Linked DNA regions of Medicago truncatula. The protein of the gene in region 1 binds, or shares a complex with, the protein of each later gene. Links are inferred from orthologs where the notes say so. Each region holds a gene or a part of one and is shown in the gene's direction. Other genes may lie near its edges.

Evidence for each region. Proteins that work in one complex are often made in the same cells at the same time.
Region 2: transcription factor MYB3R-1 (region 1) and transcription factor E2FB share a complex: the UniProt entries of both Arabidopsis thaliana proteins name them as parts of the DREAM-like complex. The link is inferred for Medicago truncatula from reciprocal best matches to the Arabidopsis thaliana genes MYB3R-4 and E2F1.

The regions. Positions count from the first base shown.
Region 1 is NC_053044.1:54,290,227-54,300,736, forward strand, and holds the start of transcription factor MYB3R-1, read left to right. Parts: upstream 1-5,496; 5' UTR 5,497-5,698; exon of another isoform or gene 5,699-5,724; intron 5,725-6,061; 5' UTR 6,062-6,164; coding exon 6,165-6,229; intron 6,230-6,990; coding exon 6,991-7,045; intron 7,046-7,383; coding exon 7,384-7,441; intron 7,442-7,706; coding exon 7,707-7,801; intron 7,802-7,941; coding exon 7,942-8,045; intron 8,046-8,304; coding exon 8,305-8,433; intron 8,434-8,749; coding exon 8,750-10,214; intron 10,215-10,380; coding exon 10,381-10,510. Other genes in the region: coiled-coil domain-containing protein 25, read left to right, coding at 1-15, 229-290, 1,529-1,681. UniProt on the Arabidopsis thaliana protein: Transcription factor that binds 5'-AACGG-3' motifs in gene promoters. Involved in the regulation of cytokinesis, probably via the activation of several G2/M phase-specific genes transcription (e.g. KNOLLE). Required for the maintenance of diploidy.
Region 2 is NC_053045.1:26,839,129-26,849,638, forward strand, and holds transcription factor E2FB, read left to right. Parts: upstream 1-4,264; 5' UTR 4,265-4,412; coding exon 4,413-4,592; intron 4,593-6,702; coding exon 6,703-6,892; intron 6,893-7,082; coding exon 7,083-7,142; intron 7,143-7,607; coding exon 7,608-7,693; intron 7,694-7,773; coding exon 7,774-7,862; intron 7,863-7,953; coding exon 7,954-8,008; intron 8,009-8,308; coding exon 8,309-8,361; intron 8,362-8,454; coding exon 8,455-8,505; intron 8,506-8,611; coding exon 8,612-8,660; intron 8,661-8,777; coding exon 8,778-8,843; intron 8,844-8,925; coding exon 8,926-9,002; intron 9,003-9,167; coding exon 9,168-9,396; intron 9,397-9,612; coding exon 9,613-9,679; intron 9,680-9,811; coding exon 9,812-9,942; 3' UTR 9,943-10,351; downstream 10,352-10,510. UniProt on the Arabidopsis thaliana protein: Transcription activator that binds DNA cooperatively with DP proteins through the E2 recognition site, 5'-TTTC[CG]CGC-3' found in the promoter region of a number of genes whose products are involved in cell cycle regulation or in DNA replication.

The DNA.
Region 1 (10,510 bases):
AACCTGATTTGAAAGGTGACTAATAAGTTTGCTATTCTTTCCTTTGCCTTTATAGTTTTTATTTAACATTTATGATAAATTTTGTGGATGAAGATGCAACTGTGTACTGTTTCTGTTTGTTATCATATATCTAGCCATTTAGTCATTGTGGTGTCTAATGTACAATATGCTTGCCAATTTAATTCGACTCAGCTGATCTTGTTATTTATGCGGGTATGTGTTCTGCAGCTGAGCGAGAAGCAGTTGCTGCTGCTGAAAGAGCTGAGAGGAAACATCAACTGAGAGAAAAAGTGAGCATTGCTTCTTTCTTTCTTACTTTCAAATTCATGCATAACCAAAGTATCTAAGCACAATATATTATGCAGACAACATCAGATTCTACTAGTATAATTTAATTTTGATGCATTGTCATTGCAAAAAATCTGTACACTTGCATCCAGGCATACAACAATGTATTGTCACATACATCATGGAATATGTTTAGCACCTCATGATATATTGTTAACTTATTTAAACACTTTTGCTAAAAAAACAAACTTATTTAAACACTTAAGATGACATTATATAGAGTCAGTTTGTTTAAAATTAATAATAGTGATTTTTACATTAGATTACCCTGGCTAGTGATTATTTTAGAGGTTTTTTATACAAAGCATAAGTGAATGAATATATCACACATTAATATCAAATTATTTCTCAAAAGCTACTAATAGTCATTATAATCCGGTGTTTTTATTCTAGTTGTTTCCCAATGCTGAAATAAACAGATAGAAAATCCTAGGAAGTGATTAAATTTGAAACAAATGAGTTCCATATCATTGTCAAACTCATAAAATATTGCACAAACTCTTCTATTAGATCTTTGACCAATGGCTGTGCTCCGAAACAAATTGGTGAATGATTGTTTGTATTTTTACCGCTGTCTATGTTGCATTCTCTTCAGGGCACAGTTGTCTAAAATGTAATTTATTTTTCCCTATGTCCTGGTGCACTGCTTGAGTTCTTTGAGTCACTTTCCATCTTGTTGTTATTTAGGATGTTATGTTTGTAAACTTTGTTAAGAATTTTAGAATCCAGCCTAAGGTTCAGTGTCTTCTTTGCCTTCTAACAGTGAAATATCTTTGTAGCGTAACATTTCAGTGTCTTCTTGATCTAGTTCAATTGTTTTTTTCTTGAACAATTACTAGAATTAAATCACATGTTTCTGTGTGCAGAAGCATTCTTTGTGACTGACATGTTGCATTCTCCTTGGGGCATAGTTGTCTACTATATAATTTATCTTTTCCTTTGTCCTAAGGCACTACTTGAGTACTTTGTGTCACTTTGTATCTTGTTGTCCTTTAGGATGTTATATGTGTGAACTTTGTTAAGAATTTGAGGATTGGGCCTAAGGTTCATGGTGTTTTCTTTGCCTGCTAAAAATGAAATATCTTCATTGTCGTGTAACATCTTAGTGTTTTCTTGATCTAGTTCAATTGTTTTTTCTTTGAACAATTGCTAGAATCAAATCACATGTTTCTGTGTGCAGAAGCGCCGTGAGGAAATAGACAGACTAGAAAAGGAGAAACAATCAGAGCTTAGGAGCTACAAGGGTTTGATGGTCGCAGAAAATATGACATCCAACAAAGACATTGCTTCAGGAAGCAGATCATTCCAGGAAGTGGAGGAGGATTTCATGTAAACATTGGTTATTGGCTTATAGACAAATGACTGGTGGTCAACTTGCTGCCATGATTAAATAACCCAACTGGAATCTGAAACTGCATCATTGTCTTGGTTAAGGAAACCAAGTGGTGTGTGTACCCAACTGTGATTTAGGGATAAAGGAGAATATAAAATAGGGAGGGGAGAATGCAATGATTGGTTTTCATACCTTGTGATGGTTATATACCTGATTTATAACTTTGCTTGTGACAATGGTTTTTATTTTATTTTCTCACAGTCGAGTCAAAAACTGATGTTTCTTGCTATAATTTTGAGTCTTGTTAGGCTTGTCAGGTTTAAACTTTTGCTTTTAGGAAATTGTTAACTATGCGATAAATTATCAGGGCATTTTGAAGTATTCATGGTACTGGCAGAGAAGCTCGTTTATTTTTTTATCACAAGACTAATGGTAGGAATAGAATATTATTTAGTGAGAGGCTGCAAGAGTAGCACATAAGCATACATGTAAGTTATGTATGTATGCCCTAACAGTGATGATATTTTGCTGGTTTGCACATTTCATCACGAAGCTGAAAAAACCACTCTTGTTGGAGAGGTTATAAGCCAGTCATAAAGATATTAGAGACGTGTTTTCACTTCAAAGTTCAAACGTGATCCAATTTACTACACTTGGAGCTGAATTGAACAGGTTTATTGTTAGAGTAATGATATTTGATCATCCATTTTTAACAACTTTTGTGACAACACTCTCTCTCATACTCTCATTGTATTTTTATTCTCTCTCTTCCTTTTTCTCTCTCTATTGTTATTGTCCAATAAAAAGAGGAAAAACGTTGTCACTGAAAGTTGTTGAAAATTGATTGTCAAAATATCATTACTCTTATTGTTATTATGGTTGAGTTGAGAGAAATGATATTTGAACAATCATTTTTAACAACTTCGGTGACAACTCTCTCATACTCTCATTATACTTTATTCTCTCTCTTCCTTTTTCTTTCTCTCTATTGCTATTGTCCAATAAGAATGGAGGAAAAAGGTTGTCACCCAAAGTTGTCTAAAATTGGTTGTCAAAATATCATTCCTCATATAGTAAAGTTTTATTAGACGTACATTGTAGATGCTAGTTTAAAAAGTCTTATATAAGTTGACATCTAATAGTACACTTACAGTGCTGATGCTAGTTTCATCAGCCGGGACGGGAACGACTTTGATACAAACACATGGCTAACATGAGAAATAAGAACAAATAAATATAAGTATATGACCATAGGCGGGGGGGTTGGACAGCTCAACTCAACTAGTTTGAGTTAAGGAAAAAAAGTCTTGGAGGTATTGGATCAAACCCGATCATGGAATAAAATATTGATCTAACAAACTAACTACCAACATTTGCTATAAAACTAAAACCTAGGATCTATTCAAAATAAATTAGCTGGTTGATTCATTGTGACTAATCCTAATAATAGCAACAATATTCTGGTTTTTTCTTCTTTCAAAAAAATTATTCTGGTTTTTTCTTATGCTATAATTAGATATACTCTTCATGTTACCCCATTCATCCTTTGCTGTAATCCTCAAAACAGTCATGTATTTGTTGTTTTGAACCCTTGAAGGAAGAGACTCAACAGAAAACATATATTGATTCAAATGGGTGTATGCCCAATTTGCACATGCAGATCCACGATTCCTACTAAATCCCATGTGGATGTGAACAAAAGTGTTTTTAAGTAAAACTCGATGATTCGATCAATTGAGCAGAACTGTCCAAAGCAAAAGTCCAATTCTAATTACATATTTCGGTGAAGAAAAGAACAAAAACCGTCCTGATTTGCCGAGTTTCAATGAATTTTAAGTCATCATACATAAAATAAAATGATCCGAGTCATAAGTCTTAATTAATCTTAATTCAATCTTGTCAACATAAATTAATCTTAACTCAATGATTCAAACAAAAATTCTTCTTAATTCCCCCTTAAAATCCAACTTAATTCAATGGTTGCAACCCGTGTTTTTATATAATTATATTGACCTAAAGAAAATTGCCAAATTTGTTTCCTTTTTACTTTACATACATGATATATATTGGCATTTTGTTTTCTTTCGGTAAATGATCTATTGACAATCTTAGTAAATTAATCTAGTTATTATTATTTGCATTAAAGAAACTAAATATTGCACCTTTAATTAAATTAAAATCCTTCAAAGTTGTTTTTTCAAAGAACCTTCGAAGTTGTTGTGGTTGTTTTTTTTTTTTTTGACAAGAAGTTGTTGTTTCTTTTTTATTTTTATTTTTTATGTTCGATTAAACCTTTAGGAAAAAAAAAATTATGCTATTGTTATTGTCATTGAGATTCTCTTACTTCGACAGTTTTCTTAAAAAATATTTTAATATTTATTTAATGAATTTTCACATATGGGACGTTTTGATCTTCTTTCAAAATAAAAACTTCTTTCTTTAAAGCATAATCTTGTTTTTTTGGGTAACTTGTTTTAATCCTGAGTAAAAATAGATAATACGGCCGTGTTTGTTGTTTCTTGCGTTAGAACTCAAAATAAAATGGGGAAAAGGGAAGTTTAGTAAATTGTAAAATTTTATACGTGCATGACACTTCATATCACAGAGATAATTTATTTTGACAACACATATATACTTTTTTTTGAAACAAACAACACATAGATACTTAAAAATATATATTTAGTTTTAGATTTAATTCGTAAAACACCACAAAAAAAGACGCCACAAAAAGAGATTTAATTTGTAAACACAGGGCAACATAAATATCCGATGCTACATTTTTTAAGTTAGTTTTTAAAACGTCTTTTATAAATATCATTGAGTTAATTGCTATATACTTCATCCGTCCTTCAATAGATGATCTATTTGAAAATATGCACTATTGACCAAACATAATTTGACTATATTTTTCTGCTAATATACAAAGATAAATAATATCATATAAAATATCGTTGAATTCGTCTCGATGAATATTTTCAAAATATCAAATTTTCATATTTTACACATGTATCAAATTTAACAATGTAAAATTATTTTACACATGTATCAAATGATGTCTTACAACGTCAATTAATGAATATGAAAACACACGAGTTCACGTATTCATTAACTTACGCGACAACACATCGTTGAATTCATTGTAGAATATTTATAAACCGACAATGTATATTAATTAAACAAACAATGTATTTAGAATGTTTTGATTTAATGCATATCTAAAAAAGTTTTACGGCAAAAATGTATAAAAATTAATCTTTATAGTTTTTCATGAAAAGATACTTACAAAAATACTATATTTTAAAAATGAGTTACGCAGTGTTTTAAGAACATTGTTTAAGAAACATATAAAAAAAAACATTTTATCTTAGAAATACAAGTCAAACACATGTAAAAGTTATAACTACACAATTTTTAATATAAAAATTATTGTTTTTAAATGCTTAAAAAATATCCTAAAACATTCGTTAGCAAAAACACCACAAAAAAACATTTGTTAGTATTTTCCATTAAGCATTAATGTAAGTAGGTGATATAATGTAAAAATATTAGTAAACTCCAGAAAAAATCTGCTAAAAAAACAAACTTCAGAAAAATATGTGGAGGAAATCTGAAAGAAAGAAAATAAAAAATATGACCGTTGCACTTTTGGAAAAATAAAAACTCAAGGTAAAATGTGAACCTTGACTCCGACGTTTCTCATCACGACCGTTCATTTTAAAAAAGTCAATAATATTGTTTGTGAAAAAAGGAAAAAAGAAAAAAAAAATCAAAAAAGAAAAGAAAAGAAAAAGAGAAAATAGTTTCCGCCCCTTTATGTTTGAGTTTGAATATTGAGAAGACCGTTTCCTTTAACACTTTCTCTCACTAAAACCTCTTCTTATTCTTCTCCCTACTTTGAATGTTGATGTCAAATTCTAGATCTTTCTTCAACATCCATCCATTCGGATTTTCATTTTCACACAGTTTCAATTTCCTCATCTATTTTCTCGAATATCTTCATTTCTGAAGCTCAATCTGGTTGGTGTTTTTTTTTTTGAACAATGGTTGGTGAACGCTTGCATTTTGATTTCGATTTCTTCTTCATGTTTATATTTATGTTTATTCTCCAATCTACAACTCATATTTATGCTTAAATGTAAATTCTATTCCGAGTTTTCAAATTGCTTTAAATTTGAATTCCTTATTTTTTTTCTTCCTTTTTTTGAATTTTTTACTTTAATTGTTTGATTTTGTAAGGATCCAGTCTGTTTAAATTTCTCTATTTCATTCGTAATGCCGCCATGTGTTTGATCCATGTAGCGGATCCCACTTTGTGCGACTTATGTGATTTATTTTTGAAATTTGAATTCAATTTATATTGATTCATATGTTTGTTTGCAGGAATTTTTGCTTGGGTAATTTTACAAGTGTGGATTAGGGATTAGAATGATTTGGAGGACAAATTGTGGAGATAATTGCAGACAAGTCGAAATTCCGGTACACTATGGGAAGTGAGTCGACAATTCCTGCTTTATCAGATGGCGTACAGAAAATTAGAGCATTACATGGGTAAATCTTAAATTCATCTTTTGTTTTACTAACATGCTTGATATGCACTTGTTGCTTTAATCTCAGATACCCCTTTTGGAAGTAAATTTTAGATTCATTGGTATGTTTATGTTTGGAGTTGTTATTTGCTTTCTTTTGATTATGAAATGATTTATTACCAAGACAAAGAAATGAATCCTTATTTTCCCAATTATAGCTTATCGCATCTGTCATTACAATTTTCCTACACCTTTTTTCCTTAAGCTAGTTGAAAAGAGGTCTGCAAGAGTGGTAACATTATACTTGTGACATTTTCCTATCACATTTGTCACATTTTTCTGTCACATTTCTGCTGATTTGATTTGTTCAACCAAAGTCGAATAGATGCACCCGTCCCCTGTACACTCCGACACTTCCAATCGGTGCCACATTGCTGGCTTAACACCTGAGTGTGAAGTTGCACAAGAAAAGCCAAAATGAGGCACTCTCTAAACTTTTTCAACTTCAATGGGGTGTATCCACTTTAATTATTATTCATTAAGGTCACTATACCTGGTCAATCAATGGTGGTAGCTTAGCTACTATAATGAGATTGAGCAGTTGCCAAACAAAATTGAAGATTATGAAAATTTTATATGCAAAAGACAAAAGACATATACTTTATGAGGATTTTAAAACGTTTCGACATTTAAATTTTTTTTTTTATGAAATCTATAACATGTCATTATATATTTATAAGCAGTGAAATGAGTTTACTCATACAATTACGCACGTATTTGCAGGAGGACTACTGGCCCTACAAGGCGATCCACTAAAGGACAATGGACACCCGAGGAGGTGAATTTTTAATACTTTTAACATATTACATCTTTCTAAAGTTTGGTAACATTGCTCCACTGCAACTTCATTTGTCTGTTTTAGGGGAGACACAATAAAATTTTGTATCATGTGAAATTTAGCATCTATAGACTTATTGTGTTAACTTTTTCACTTTCAATCATTATAGTTAATAGTTATTGTGTAGACTTCTTTGAAGATCATAAATGGCTAAATAATGCAATGACTTTTTTTGTATACATGTGCATTTAGAAGCTGTACTTGATTTTTCTTTGAAATTCTTCTATGTAAAAATGTATTATATGATCAAGTGAAATACATGAATTCTGTGTATGCAGGATAATATATTGAGGAAGGCTGTTGAGCGTTTTCAAGGAAAAAATTGGAAAAAAATAGGTAATATTTTCACGACATACTTCTTTTGGCGTATAACTGCATAGTGGAGCATTGGTTGTGTCCAATTCTTCATAAAACTAGACGAGCTTTTTCAGTTGGACCTTTACAGGCTTAACTGAGGAGATTTAAAATGGGAAAAAGAACTGGTGTTTGTTGGGGAATCAATCTATATATTTGTAGTAAACTCAATTTATATTTTTTTGTTGTCTTTACACCTATTCAATATTGTTTTTTGACTTGTTATGATTGTACAATGTGTTTGCAGCGGAGTGTTTCAAGGATAGAACTGATGTACAATGCCTGCATAGGTGGCAAAAAGTCTTAAATCCAGAACTTATCAAAGGTCCTTGGTCCAAAGAGGTAATATCAACTTCTCATTTCTTGCCGGTGTTGATTATATACTTAGCAATTTTGTGTTGGTTCTGACATGATAGCCTATTCTATCCATTTTCTGTTTGGAGATCTGTTATTTACTTACCTATCAATCTGAATGCAAACAGGAAGATGAAACAATTGTTGATTTGGTAAACAAATATGGGCCTAAAAAGTGGTCTACTATAGCACAACATTTACCTGGACGTATCGGTAAGCAATGTCGAGAAAGGTATGGTTATTGGATTTCTAATAGTTAATGTATGTTATGATTAACATACTTTACGTCCAAAAACATTAAATTAGAGTACAATGTATTTAATATTTATTCCGACTACATTTTCTTATTGCCACTTAGTGGGATAAGACTTGGTTGTTGTTGTATTTTTTCCGTATTGCACACACACATATATAAATTAAATTACGCTTGGGGGGTTGTAGTAGTCAATTCTCATTCTCGCTGATAATGATAATTTTTGAAAAATTATTAGGTGGCATAATCATCTTAATCCTTCTATAAACAAAGAAGCATGGACGCAGGAAGAAGAGTTGGCTCTAATACATGCTCATCAGATATATGGGAATAGATGGGCAGAGTTATCAAAGTTTTTGCCTGGAAGGTAAATACACGTTAATTTGGTTTTTGCATTTCATTTAAATAAGGAATGAAGTTGAAAAGTGCATGCAATGCAACCATGCTCTCACTTCATTTTTGGAATCACTGTTTCTTATGTATTTTATGGGCTGATTTCATTAGAGATCTGGATACCCTACAGTACTGGCGTCAGGTAGAAAAAAATATCAATTTTTATCAATAAAAATATCATGCTATCAGAATATGCATGTTTTTCTGGCTGAAATTTAGATTCATTTTTTACTTCTGTTTATTAGTTAGCATTTGAAAATGTGATTTTTCATTTTCTGATGTGGAAACAGGACAGACAATGCTATAAAGAACCACTGGAATAGTTCTGTTAAGAAAAAATTGGATTCCTACTTGGCGTCAGGCTTGCTTGCTCAGTTTCAAAATGTCCCACTTGTTGGAAATCCGAATCAACCTATTGCTTCATCCTCTGCAAGGTTGCAGTTTAGTGTAGATGATAATGGTCCTAGGGGCACAGAAGGTGAGGAAGTTTCACAGTGTAGCCAGGAGTCCATTAATGCTAGTCACTTTCCGTCTGGCAGAGAGTTGAGCATTGCCGTTATACAAAATGTGGAGGAGTACAGGCAAAATGAAGAATCTAATCAAGCATCATGTTCAGAGCCATATTACATGTCTCTGGATGGTGTTACTCTCCAAGAGGTTTGCTCCTCTCAATTTCTTGAGCAAAAATATTCAAACGAACCTGGGAGTTCCTCCGCAAATGTGGACTGCCAATTTAATTTACATGCTTTGCCCACCTCACTGGACTTTGGGCAGGAATCGACGCAGTTGCAAAATGATTCTTTAGCTTCTGGTGAAAACATGATGATTGTTCCATATGAATATCGGCCTTCATCTATGGGCAATGCTAAAGGAGAACAAAACATGTTGATAACTGATGATGAATGTTGCAGATTCCTATTTTCAGAGGCAATGAGCGATGAATGTTTTTCCTCTGGAGGAGTAAATAATGTTGACTTGTCTGGATACACTTCATCTCTTTGTCATTCGTCTTTACCATCTGATAGTAGGATGATAATGTCTACTGCCGAAGCAAATCAGTTGGTCGGCTCTGTGGATCAGCAATTTGACTCGAGGGAAGATGTTGTGAAAGATGATAGTTTAAAATTGGAGCCTGTAAGTAATTCTGGATGTGGATCAGATACGATGCAAACTTGCTATCCAATTGATGAAAAGCCAAATGTGCATACACAACAGGAGGAAACAGGAGGAACTCTATGTTATGAACCGCCCCGTTTTCCAAGCTTGGATATACCTTTCTTGAGCTGTGATCTTATACAATCTGGAGATATGCAGCAAGAATTTAGTCCCTTAGGTATCCGCCAGTTTATGATGTCTTCTATGAACTGTCTGACTCCTTTCAGATTGTGGGACTCACCTTCTCGCATTGATAGTCCGGACGCTTTGTTAAAAAGTGCTGCTAAAACTTTCACAAGTACACCGTCCATAATGAAGAAGAAGAAACGAAACCGAGAAAGAGACCTTTTATCTCCACTATCAGATAGAAGAATGGAGAAGAAACATGAGATTGACATGACGTCAACTTTGATTAGAAACTTTTCCCGTTTGGATGTCATGTTTGATGACAATGAGACTCAAGGTATTGAACATGATAAAGAAAATCGTGGACCAGCTTTTATGGTGGAGGATAAAAGTAACTCTGAGGAGAAGATTGAGCAGCCTCCACTTGATGCTGATTCTAAGATGAAGAATGATATTGATACCACTGCTGAAATTGTAAGTACTACTTTTACTATTCGAGAAACCACCATGATCCTTGTCTCTTAAGAATATTAATAGTTGTAAATACTAACTTGTCACTGTGCTCCAAAATGTTATTATTCTATTGTGGTCGATTGCAGTCCAAATTTTGTAATATTGACTTGTTATTTTTACTGGTCAGGTGCAACAGCCTTCTCGAGTTTTGATTGAACATGATATGAATGATCCATCGCTGTATTCTCCTAATCAAGTTGGTTTGAAATCAGACATAGTTCTAAGTTTAAGTGCTCGAAGTCATCAAAAATCAGTCT
Region 2 (10,510 bases), on another chromosome or scaffold:
AGGAGACGGTGGTTAATCAAGCATTGTACCATATTAATGACAATGACTATTCATCTTCACTCATGACTTCTCTCTATATATTTTCTATGTTTGATGATTGTTTTTTTTTTTTGTTGACATTTTTAATTTGGTTTTATGGGTATTCAACAATTCCATGGTAATGGAAATATCTTTCTTTCTTTTCAAGTTCAGATCAAGGCGTTCGTGTTGCATGGATCAATGAATAATATTTGGTTCATAGCAATGTTTATTCTCATTTTAATAAATAAATTACAAAGGTGATAAACCCTTTTATATATGTAAGAGCTTATTGTGCATCATATTTAATTAATAAAAAAGGAAGTAACAATGTAATTTGGTGTGTCAAATAATTCATATATTTTTTTGCATATGTTTGGTTTTTACTTATTTCCGTTCTAGATCAATTCTTTGGTGCTCTTAGGTATCTATTGTTTGTTTCTTTAATCAAGCTATTGATTTAGGATTGTTATAACTTTGACACTTGATTTAAAAATATATATTCTGCTTTTTTTTTTTTTTCCTCTTCTACTTTTCAGTTGCCTTTGAGGAAAACTTACATATAGTGAATTTTCATTGGTATTGTTGGGAGACTTTATTTTTGTGTGTAAGAATCTTTCAAAAAATTTATTTGTTCGTTGGTGAGAAATATTGATTGTGATTCAACATATTATGGTTTTTAGAAATGTTTTTTTTAGAATGGTGTGTTTAGATGGAAGATTCATGAGAGGAGGGCTTACTTTTCCTTTTTAAATTACAAACACTAAAAAAAAACCACCAAAATGACTTTTTTTCATACTTTTTGTGGTTTTGATTAAACTGAATTCACGACATAAAAAAAACCAACAAAATGACTTTTTTTTCAAACTTTTTGTGGTTTTGATTAAAGTGTACTAAAACGGAAACTCAATAGTAGGGATAAAAATGATTAGACAAATGCAATAATAGAGAGGTAGATTGGGTAAAGAGGGAGCTTTTTTTTAATAGGAGAGATGGAGAATGGGTGAATATTAGTCAAATGCAAAAAGATTAAACTGTAATCAATAAAGGTTTTTATAAATTGTGTTAGCGGTAGGAAAGATTTATTGTCTTCGTGAAACCCACTCCCATAAATTTCACTCATGTTTCATGCATATTCATATTTCTTATATAGATGAGTATGCATCACAAAACTAAGTAAATCGTAAATAACTCCATGTTAGAGAAGTGCATGTATTATCTATCTTATATTTTTTTTATCACATTAGAACTTTCTCTTTTTGAGGGGAATGTATGATATTTCTTTGAATTCTAATAATTTTCTCCAAGATATATCAAGAAAAACTAAACAACATTGATGTTGAAAAACATACTATTTATGAGTTACATGCGTTAGCGCAGTAGAAAGAGTGGACAGACGGGCACGGGAATGCCCGTCTGGACGCTAGTGAAGCCTAATGTGAAATCCTGATCCAAGTCCAATTGAACACATACTGAGAATTATGAGCTGCACTTTTCTTCTTCTTCCTTCCAATATTCACAACCAGCTTTCCAGAAACGTGATTATGCCCAAAGCCCTTTTCCAAAACAGCTTATTATTAAAAATGAAATTGAACCAAAGCAACTTATTGAATACACAACTGAGCCAAAACAGCATGCCCAAAAGAAACTTGTCCCAAACGGGCTTTTGCAAAACGCACTTTTCAAATCAGCTTTTCTAAATCGCGTTCATACAACACGATTACGCTATTGAACTCATTGTCATTTGTGCATTCCAGAATCTCTCAACCATAGCAGAATTCATCAATGTCGTGAAACAAAATACTTCGAACCTGCAAGTGTTCGCCGGAAAACAAGTATGCGACGGTTGTGTTGATTTTCACGAAAACAACGAAAGACGGTTCTTCCCTCTGTCCCATGGTATCCACTGTAGTCAATCAATACCAAAACTTGTGAACTTGAAAAATGAAATTGAAAAAGAAATTGATAGAAAAGAGGGCAACAAACCGCAAAGATTTCCACCGGGATTGAAATCCACAATTGCCTCGTCATGTAACTAGAAGCATTGAAGCTTGTTGTTGAGTGTGATTACATCATGTTCCTGTTCTCCGACGAAGAAGAAACTAACGCCGTAAACAGGTACAGAGCTTGAGAGAACAAAATCGGTGAAGAGACTCTTCGAGTTCCTGATCGCTACTTCAGAAACGGTGAAAACAAATTTTCGATTGTTCAGTTTTGTAGATTCAGCAAATGCGTGAAACAACAAATCAAGACTATGTGAATTCTTGTTTTCTTCCGAAGCATCAAACACAAAGTTGCGCTCAGTGCAACAACGTGAATTAGCGAGAAAGCAAGGAATTTCACCAATCTTGATGGCGAATCCATCAACTGCTGGCTGAAACGAAGCATTCCACGGTGAAGAAACAGAAGTGGAAACTGAATCACCAAAACTACCGAAAATGAAGCAATCTTGCGAAGTGGAGGAACACGAAGATTCTGCAGCAGAAGCTTCAAGATCTTCATCACCAACCGAATCCTCTTCATCACCAACAGAATCCTCTTCAGAATCACTATATGTGCAACAATATTGCTCTGATACCATATCGGAAACTATAGGATCAAAGAGATGAAGATGAAGTTCATAGGAGAAGTAGGCATGAGAGGTAGAAACAAAAGAATAATCCTTGTAATTCATATTGAATTAGATTGAAAAAGATAACCATAGAGTACAATAGTGAGAGATATTTATAGAGTGAGTTAGTTCGTAACTAACTCTTAACTACCTAACTAAGTAACTAACCATAGTTTACATATTATCTAATTATGGTTTATTCACTATACTCTACTAATAACCGTTGCTTCAGCAAGCAATGGTCACGCCACTCTCACGGTCTCCAATGAAAAAAGTGATGAAAAGTTCAAATTACATGCTGACAATCTCACAAAATAACTAACCGCTGGAGCTGCTCTAAGATAAGAGCAGGTTTTTGACGTACGTTAACAAACATACTTACGTATCATCATCAGTAAAGGAACATTGACGGTAAGTAAACTCTCTTTACCACAAATTAGAGAATATCCCCTAAATTATAAATCTTTGTATCGAAAATTGTACCCTGAAGTAAGTAAAATAAAAATAATGAAGTTGAGTACATGGTGGTTATGTTATGTAGCACTGGGGACTGGAGGAATATAAAGTCGGGACTACCGTTAAAACGTGGGTGTGATTCGCGCTGATTCCTAACCGAACAGAGGCAGTTTTATTAAAAAAACACGGCCAAATTTCTTCCATTGTCTTTTTCCTTTTGGTACACGATCCAAGTTTTTATATTTATTAAATGAAAATAAAATTTCCCTAAATAGGATTTAATTAATTTTAAAAAAAACTAGGATTTACTTCACATAAAATGTTTACACACACTATTAACTAAGAGAAAGAAGTCCTAACTCAACTGGCAAAATGCCGAAATTGTTAGGCCGGATGTCATGACCGGGCTTCGAACCCCGGTACCTCCACTTGTGTGTGTGAGTTTATAATGGCTTTGCCATTTCGTCTATCTACCAAAAAAAAAAACTAACAGAAAATATTTGACTTCCATTATCTATTTAAATTATACATATAATAACATTTGACTAGTCAACATAATACATTTTTTATTGTAAAAAAACGTTATAAATTTTTACGTTAATATTGTATTAAAATATTAAAATTAAAATCTAATTAAAAAGTTTGTTTTTTTCATTTGATTTTCTTAAAATAATATTTTTTATTTATTTTCAGTTTCTAGTAAATTCTCTCCTTTAAAATAATCATATTTAAAATACTATCCGACATTAAATATAATCATGAAAATTCTAACTAATATTTTCACAAGTAAAATATCGGTTTTAATTTATAAAATCTAACTCAACTAACAATACAAATATTTTTAAATCAAACATTTTCATCTGATTCCAATATGAAACCTCACAATCATAGTGTGTCTTTTGGTTATGTTTATCATTTCGTCTAGAAAATTATAACCCTTGTGTTAAACAATTAAAACCTGCTCATTTTGTCTAAAATTAGTCCTTGTGACTTAATTTTAAGTTGAATAATTTTTTGTAAAACTTTATTTATCTTTCCAGCAACTTATTATCAGATTTTTTTTTTTAAAACCAAAAGGGTTTACACACAAAAAAATAAAATAAAATAGTGTAATAAAATAATAATAGTAATAATTGATATTGAATTGGGAACTCATTATTTATTTATAAGCACTTCCCTCCACATCAATATCCGAACCAAATTCCCTCCATCATCATCTTCTTCTCCCTCTCCCTCTTCCCTTTCTCTCTCCCGCTTTTTCCCACTTTCCAAACACATAGATCTCTCTTCCTTTTCCCTCCCATTTCCTTCCATCGCCGGCAGGTGGATGTCGGGCACCCGAACTCCTCCCGCCACCGCCGCGCCGGACCAGATCATGCAGCAACGTCAACTCCCTTTCTCCTCCATGAAACCTCCCTTTCTCGCCGCCGCTGATTATCACCGCTTCGCTCCTGACCACCGCCGGAATCAAGACCTAGAAACTGAAGCTATTGTTGTTAAAACTCCTGTGAGTTTTCTATTTTTTTATTATTATTATTATTTTTTTACGTTTTTTGTGATTTTTTTTATGGTTTTTAGTTTAGTTTTTGTAAGGTGATTTAAAGAACTAGGGATCTATTGAATTTTAGGGTTTAATTTCTATTTAGTTATTAAATTGTTGGGATTAGTTGCTGAATTAGTTCTTAGAGTTGAATATTAGTTAGGTTTTACTAAAAAAAGGAATTTTTTCCGTGCTTGAGGAATCAAACTAAGTTATGCTAGTGTCTGACACGTGTGTGAGACACCAACACGACACTAACACATGTGGTTATATTCAATTACGGGTGTCGACCTGTTAGTGTCGTGTCAGGTGTTTGCAACAGTGCTTCATAGAAAAAGAGTGTGTGGGTGTGTTTATTTTTTATTTTTAATATGTGCTGTTATATGAGCTTTAGAGCCTGTTTGGATAAATGGTTTATTTGCAGCTTATGGCACAAGTGCTTATCATATAAGCACTTTTGCATAAGCTTACATAAGCTGTTTTTATAAGCATACACATAAACTTTATTTTGATAGAAAAAAAATAAGCCATAAGCTGTCTTTATTAGTTCTCTCAAACAGTCTCACAAAACTTATGCTAGTAGGTAAGCTCAAATAAGCCAATCCAAACAGGCCCTTAGTCCTTAGGTTTAGTACTTGATCAATGTATTGAGGAACTTGAGAGGATGTGATTGTAACTTGGTCAATTCTAGGCGGTAAGAATCACGTTGCAATGAAAATAATTGGTCAATTCTAGGTGGAAAGGATCACATTGCAAGGAAATGAATCTGTCTATTGGATGCTTTAAAATGCTCCTGAAAAGCCCCATTTAGTTTATGAGCTTACTTTTGCCTGGTTGTTTTTAAATGAGGTTTCTATTTGGTGCAAAGATTTTCTGTAAGAAATTTGGCAAATAAAGGAAATGGGTTACCATACTCGGTCGAAATTTTTTTATGTGGATAAAAAAATAACTCTGCTTCAGAAACCACATTTCGTGAGTTTTTAAGTTTATTTTTGTAGTCTTTCGCTTTTTCCTTTTTGAATTGAATCCATTTAGTCAACTTAGTAGTGTTGCCGTTTGCCAAATACATACGTTTTTAGGAAACTGACCGTAACTGAGTTATTCTATCATTATGTTACTCGTTAAGGAATTCTGAGGGTATCTTGCACATCCTTAGACTATGCTCATGTAAAAAACTAAATTGTGCATAACTTTTCCATTTCTCATAAATGCAAGTAGGGCGCTTCCCTTTTTCTTATTCTTTGCAAAATCTATTGACATAGTTAAAAGTATTGGGTTATGCTTGTGTTGTTATTTGTAGATATTATAAGTAAATTTCTTTCTTCTAATTGATGTGAAGCTATATATTTATGGTTGCTATTAAAAATGCCTCATTACATTGAATTGCGGCTTCGTGATACGGCTGGAGGCCTTGGCTGCCACGCTAAATGCAAATGCAGCGGAAATCGAGTATGGTGTTTGCGGCTGCGTTTCATGGTGGAATTGCTTATTGCGGCCGAAGCAAGGGTCTTACTGCACAAACCCATTCACTCTGGCCACAAATTGGAAGTTTCTTGCCATGAGCTGGTGTTTTTCAGTAAGAACACCGACAGAGAAAAATATAGAACAATGGAGTACAAGAAAGACGCGAGTAGAAACAAGAAAGGAGGAAAAGTAACTGCAATGTGGAGCTATCTAATTTTTTAATATCGGGAAGGGAACATTTTAAATTTAGGGTTTCCGAAATTAGGCTTTAAGTTAGTCTAATGGTGGTCCACACCCCCTTTTTTTCTACCGACACCCCCTTTTCTACATAGTGAAGACTAAAATACCTCTGTTCTCACCTTTTCTACCCCTCTTTCCCTTCCCCTCGCAAGCACTATCCCAGTTGTATAATCGATTGCTCTGCACCAATATCCGAGATTAACAACATTGATTTATGATTAATGGATTATTTATGAAAATACGATTCTTACTATTCTAACTTACTCTATATAATCTTTTTTTTTAAGTCAACTTATCTCCGCGAGCACCTGCTTAGACTAATCCATAATCTTTTCTATTTATTGTTACTTACTATTATATTCACACATTTCAGCAATTGAAGCGGAAGAGTGAAGCAGCTGATTTTGAAGCTGATTCAGGTGATAGGATGACTCCTGGGTCCACTGCAGCAGCCAATAGTTCTGTTCAGACGCCTGTATCTGGAAAGGCGGGGAAAGGAGGAAAATCCTCTAGGATGACAAAATGCAACAGATCTGGAACTCAAACCCCTGGCTCAAATATTGGTGAATATTTTTTTCGAAACTTTGTTAAGTAGGATTCTACATTTATCATTTTCCTAATATATTCAAAGAAAATAAGGGTAGCCAATATTTTGGTTGACAACTAGATTTCTATCAACTAACATACACCATCATTCCTTTAATTATCGATTTTGGCTACCAAAAAGTTATACTTTTTATATAAATTTGGCAGGTTCTCCTTCAGGAAATAATCTCACCCCTGCTGGTCCATGTCGATATGACAGCTCATTAGGTATTGCCTAATTTTTCAGTTTTGATTAGTTGATTGTTGATCATCGGTGGTTTATTGTTATTCAATTCTTTACAGTTTAAGTTACACATTAAACACTTGTAGTTTCTCCCTTTTCAAACAACCTCCACCAACCTTTTTTTCATGACGCTCAGTCACTTAACCTCCCTCAACTCTGGTTTAAGTTGAAAATGTTGATTTTGGGTAACTTTAATGTCGATCATTGTTTACTTTACACATTACCCTCCTAACTAAATGTAATTTGGTGGCAAGTTGAGAAAATGTTAAACATATATTTAAATTAAATTGAAAATTTAATGTTTTAAGTTAAACCAATGTTTAGGGGGGGTTAAATGGCTAAAATAGGTTAAGTGGGTTTGTAATGAACCCTTTCTTTAAATGTTTTACTGGTGAGTGAAGATTGTGGGTACATTTTCTCACCTATATCATATTGTTAAAAACAAATAGGTCTGTTGACAAAAAAGTTCATCGCTTTAATAAAACAAGCAGAGGATGGTATTCTTGATCTAAATAATGCTGCTGACACATTAGAGGTAACATTTGCTTCCTGTCTAAAGATTACATGCTCATTACTGGAATGTTTGAGAATTTCATGAAGCTTTTGTGTCTACAGGTGCAAAAGAGGAGGATATATGATATTACAAATGTTCTTGAAGGAATTGGCCTTATAGAAAAAAAGCTCAAGAACAGAATTCAGTGGAAGTGGGAGTTCTTTCCATTCATCAGTCATTGTTGTCATAATTTTATCCAAAATTTTGAAACACTTTTACCAATTTCTTTGATGATTGACCAGGGGGCTGGATGTTTCAAAACCAGGGGAGGCCGATGATAGTTTTGCTAGTTTACAGGTTAGGAAGGACTAAATTTTTATCTTTGGAATTCACATGTAGATGATTTTCTTTAAAAGTTAGAAAGACTGGTGAGATATTCATGTTTTCCTGTCAAGAGCTTCCCATTATTCAAGCTGAAGCTACCTTATCTGTAAATCATTTTATGTGTGACTGCTTGTAAAGCATACTTTTTTATTTGGTTGAAGTAAATTTACAGACTTTTTGACTTATATAATTCATGGCATATAATAAATTTGATGGTAGTATTAAATCCTTATAAATGTTGGTGTTTGATTTGTTTTTGTTTCTCATATGCAGGCAGAAATTGAAAATTTAACAATTGAGGAACGCCGGTTGGATGAACAAATAAGGTTTGGATGTTTGCCTTTGCTGATTCTTCTTTGTTGCATAATTGCAGTTTTTGCCTGTTGTCTATTAAGAGTTTATTTTTATTATTATTGCAGGGAGATGCAAGAAAGACTACGGAATCTCAGCGAAGATGAAAATAATGAGAAGTAATATTATTTTTCCTTAATCCATATTTGGGTCTTTTAGCCGTACTTTTATGTTCATAATTTTATTTAATGTATTTTTTCTTTATTTTCTTTCCACCCTCAAAAGGTTTCTTTTTGTCACTGAGGAAGATATAAAGAACTTGCCCTGCTTCCAGGTTAGTTTCCCTATTTATGAATTACAATGAATATTTTGATGTGGTGTTTCTGTTTCCTTTGCTTCTTGTATATAAATTTATTTTGGATTTTAACTGGTTCTATTTTCCTATTGCCAGAATGAAACCTTGATAGCAATTAAAGCTCCACATGGTACCACTTTGGAAGTACCTGATCCTGATGAGGTAATTTAAGAGGATATGAGAAGTTGGTAGAAGTAATCAACAGATTTGTCTTTCTGAATGCAAATTCCCTTTTTCCTATTAGGCTGTTGATTATCCCCAGAGAAGATACAGGATAGTCCTCAGAAGCACAATGGGCCCAATAGATGTTTACCTTGTTAGGTATGCTTAATGTTTTTGGGTGTTTTGCTAACATTTGCTTCAAGGGTCATTTAGCTGTTGCAATGACATGTCAGATGACAATGCCATATGAAGCGATGATGCTTGAAGCTTGCAACATGCTATAAAGTTGACATTCTTGATCTCACCCTTTCACTGCCATTGTAGTCAATTTGAAGAGAAGTTTGAGGAGATCAACGGTGTTGATGTTGCATCCAAATTTCCACCCAGTCCAGAAGTTAACAAAGTTAACAAGGATCAATCAACCGTGGTCCCAGAAGATAAAGGGAAGGAAATAGAAGTGCAGAGACAAGATGGTGAAGGGCCTAGTTCAGATCTTAATAACAATCACGACTTCGTGAGTGGGATCATGAAGATTGTTCCTTCAGATGTTGCTGTAAGCATCACCTCAGTCTGTGGGATATTTGTTTTTTGCATTTGCAAATTGTTAGGAAAGAGTGTATCTTATGTCCAGAGTACCAAAATCTGAAGGGTGTTAGCTTTCAAAATATATAAGTTATTGCATGTTTTTTGTTGTGAAGGTTCTAGCGTTGTTTCTGATTTAAGAAAAAAAACCTTGGAGCTAATTTGAAATTGTGATATCTTTTTGCAGAGTGATGCTGATTATTGGCTTTTATCTGATGCCGATGTTAGCATAACCGACATGTGGAGAACAGAACGTATTCTCTCTAGACACCTTAGTCTCCATTTCATTCATTATTCATACACATATACACACACAAACACATCAAAAGAGAAGGGGTTTGGAAGTTCCATAATTTTTTTTTGTAATTTCCTTGATATATTTACAGCTGGAGTTGAATGGAATGAACTCGAAGCACTTCAAGAAGAATATTGTATGGCTCGTGAGCAATCTACAACCCCAAATCATGCTTCAAATATTGGTGAAGTGCCTTCTGCATCCAACCCTACTGTAGGATGAAGCCTCAAAAGGATTTATTTTGAACCTGAAGAGAAAGTTGTGTTCTTTCTCCAACTGAGAACCTATGACATCCACCCAGACCTGCGAGGTTGGATTGAAGGTTGCTAGAAGATACTTTCTCAATGTTTCATCAAGAAGCTTGTCCTGGGGAACTGAATGGCCAGTCAAATGGCTAATTGTACAGTTAGAATTACATAATCCAAGTGACTTTGTACTTCTAGAGGAAAAAACATGTGGCTTTTGCGAACCCAACTTTGTATATTGTAATGGTGGGGCATTCTAGACTACTTAGCGCGATGTGTATGTTTGAAAGGCAATAAAAACACATTTCAGATTGCTAATTGAAGTAGAATTTTGCTCTCAGGCAGAGCACTGATCAAATAAAAAGTTTCATGACATTCTATGGTCATTCTGTTTCTTTGATCCCTTGTTATTAACTTCTACTTTCTACCCGTTACTCTTTCTTCACGTTGCAATATCAGAGTCACCATTGACACTAGTAAGCTACATAAATTCTAGAAAGGGGTGCAAATGTTGGATGCAACCATTCAAATCAATTATAGCAATA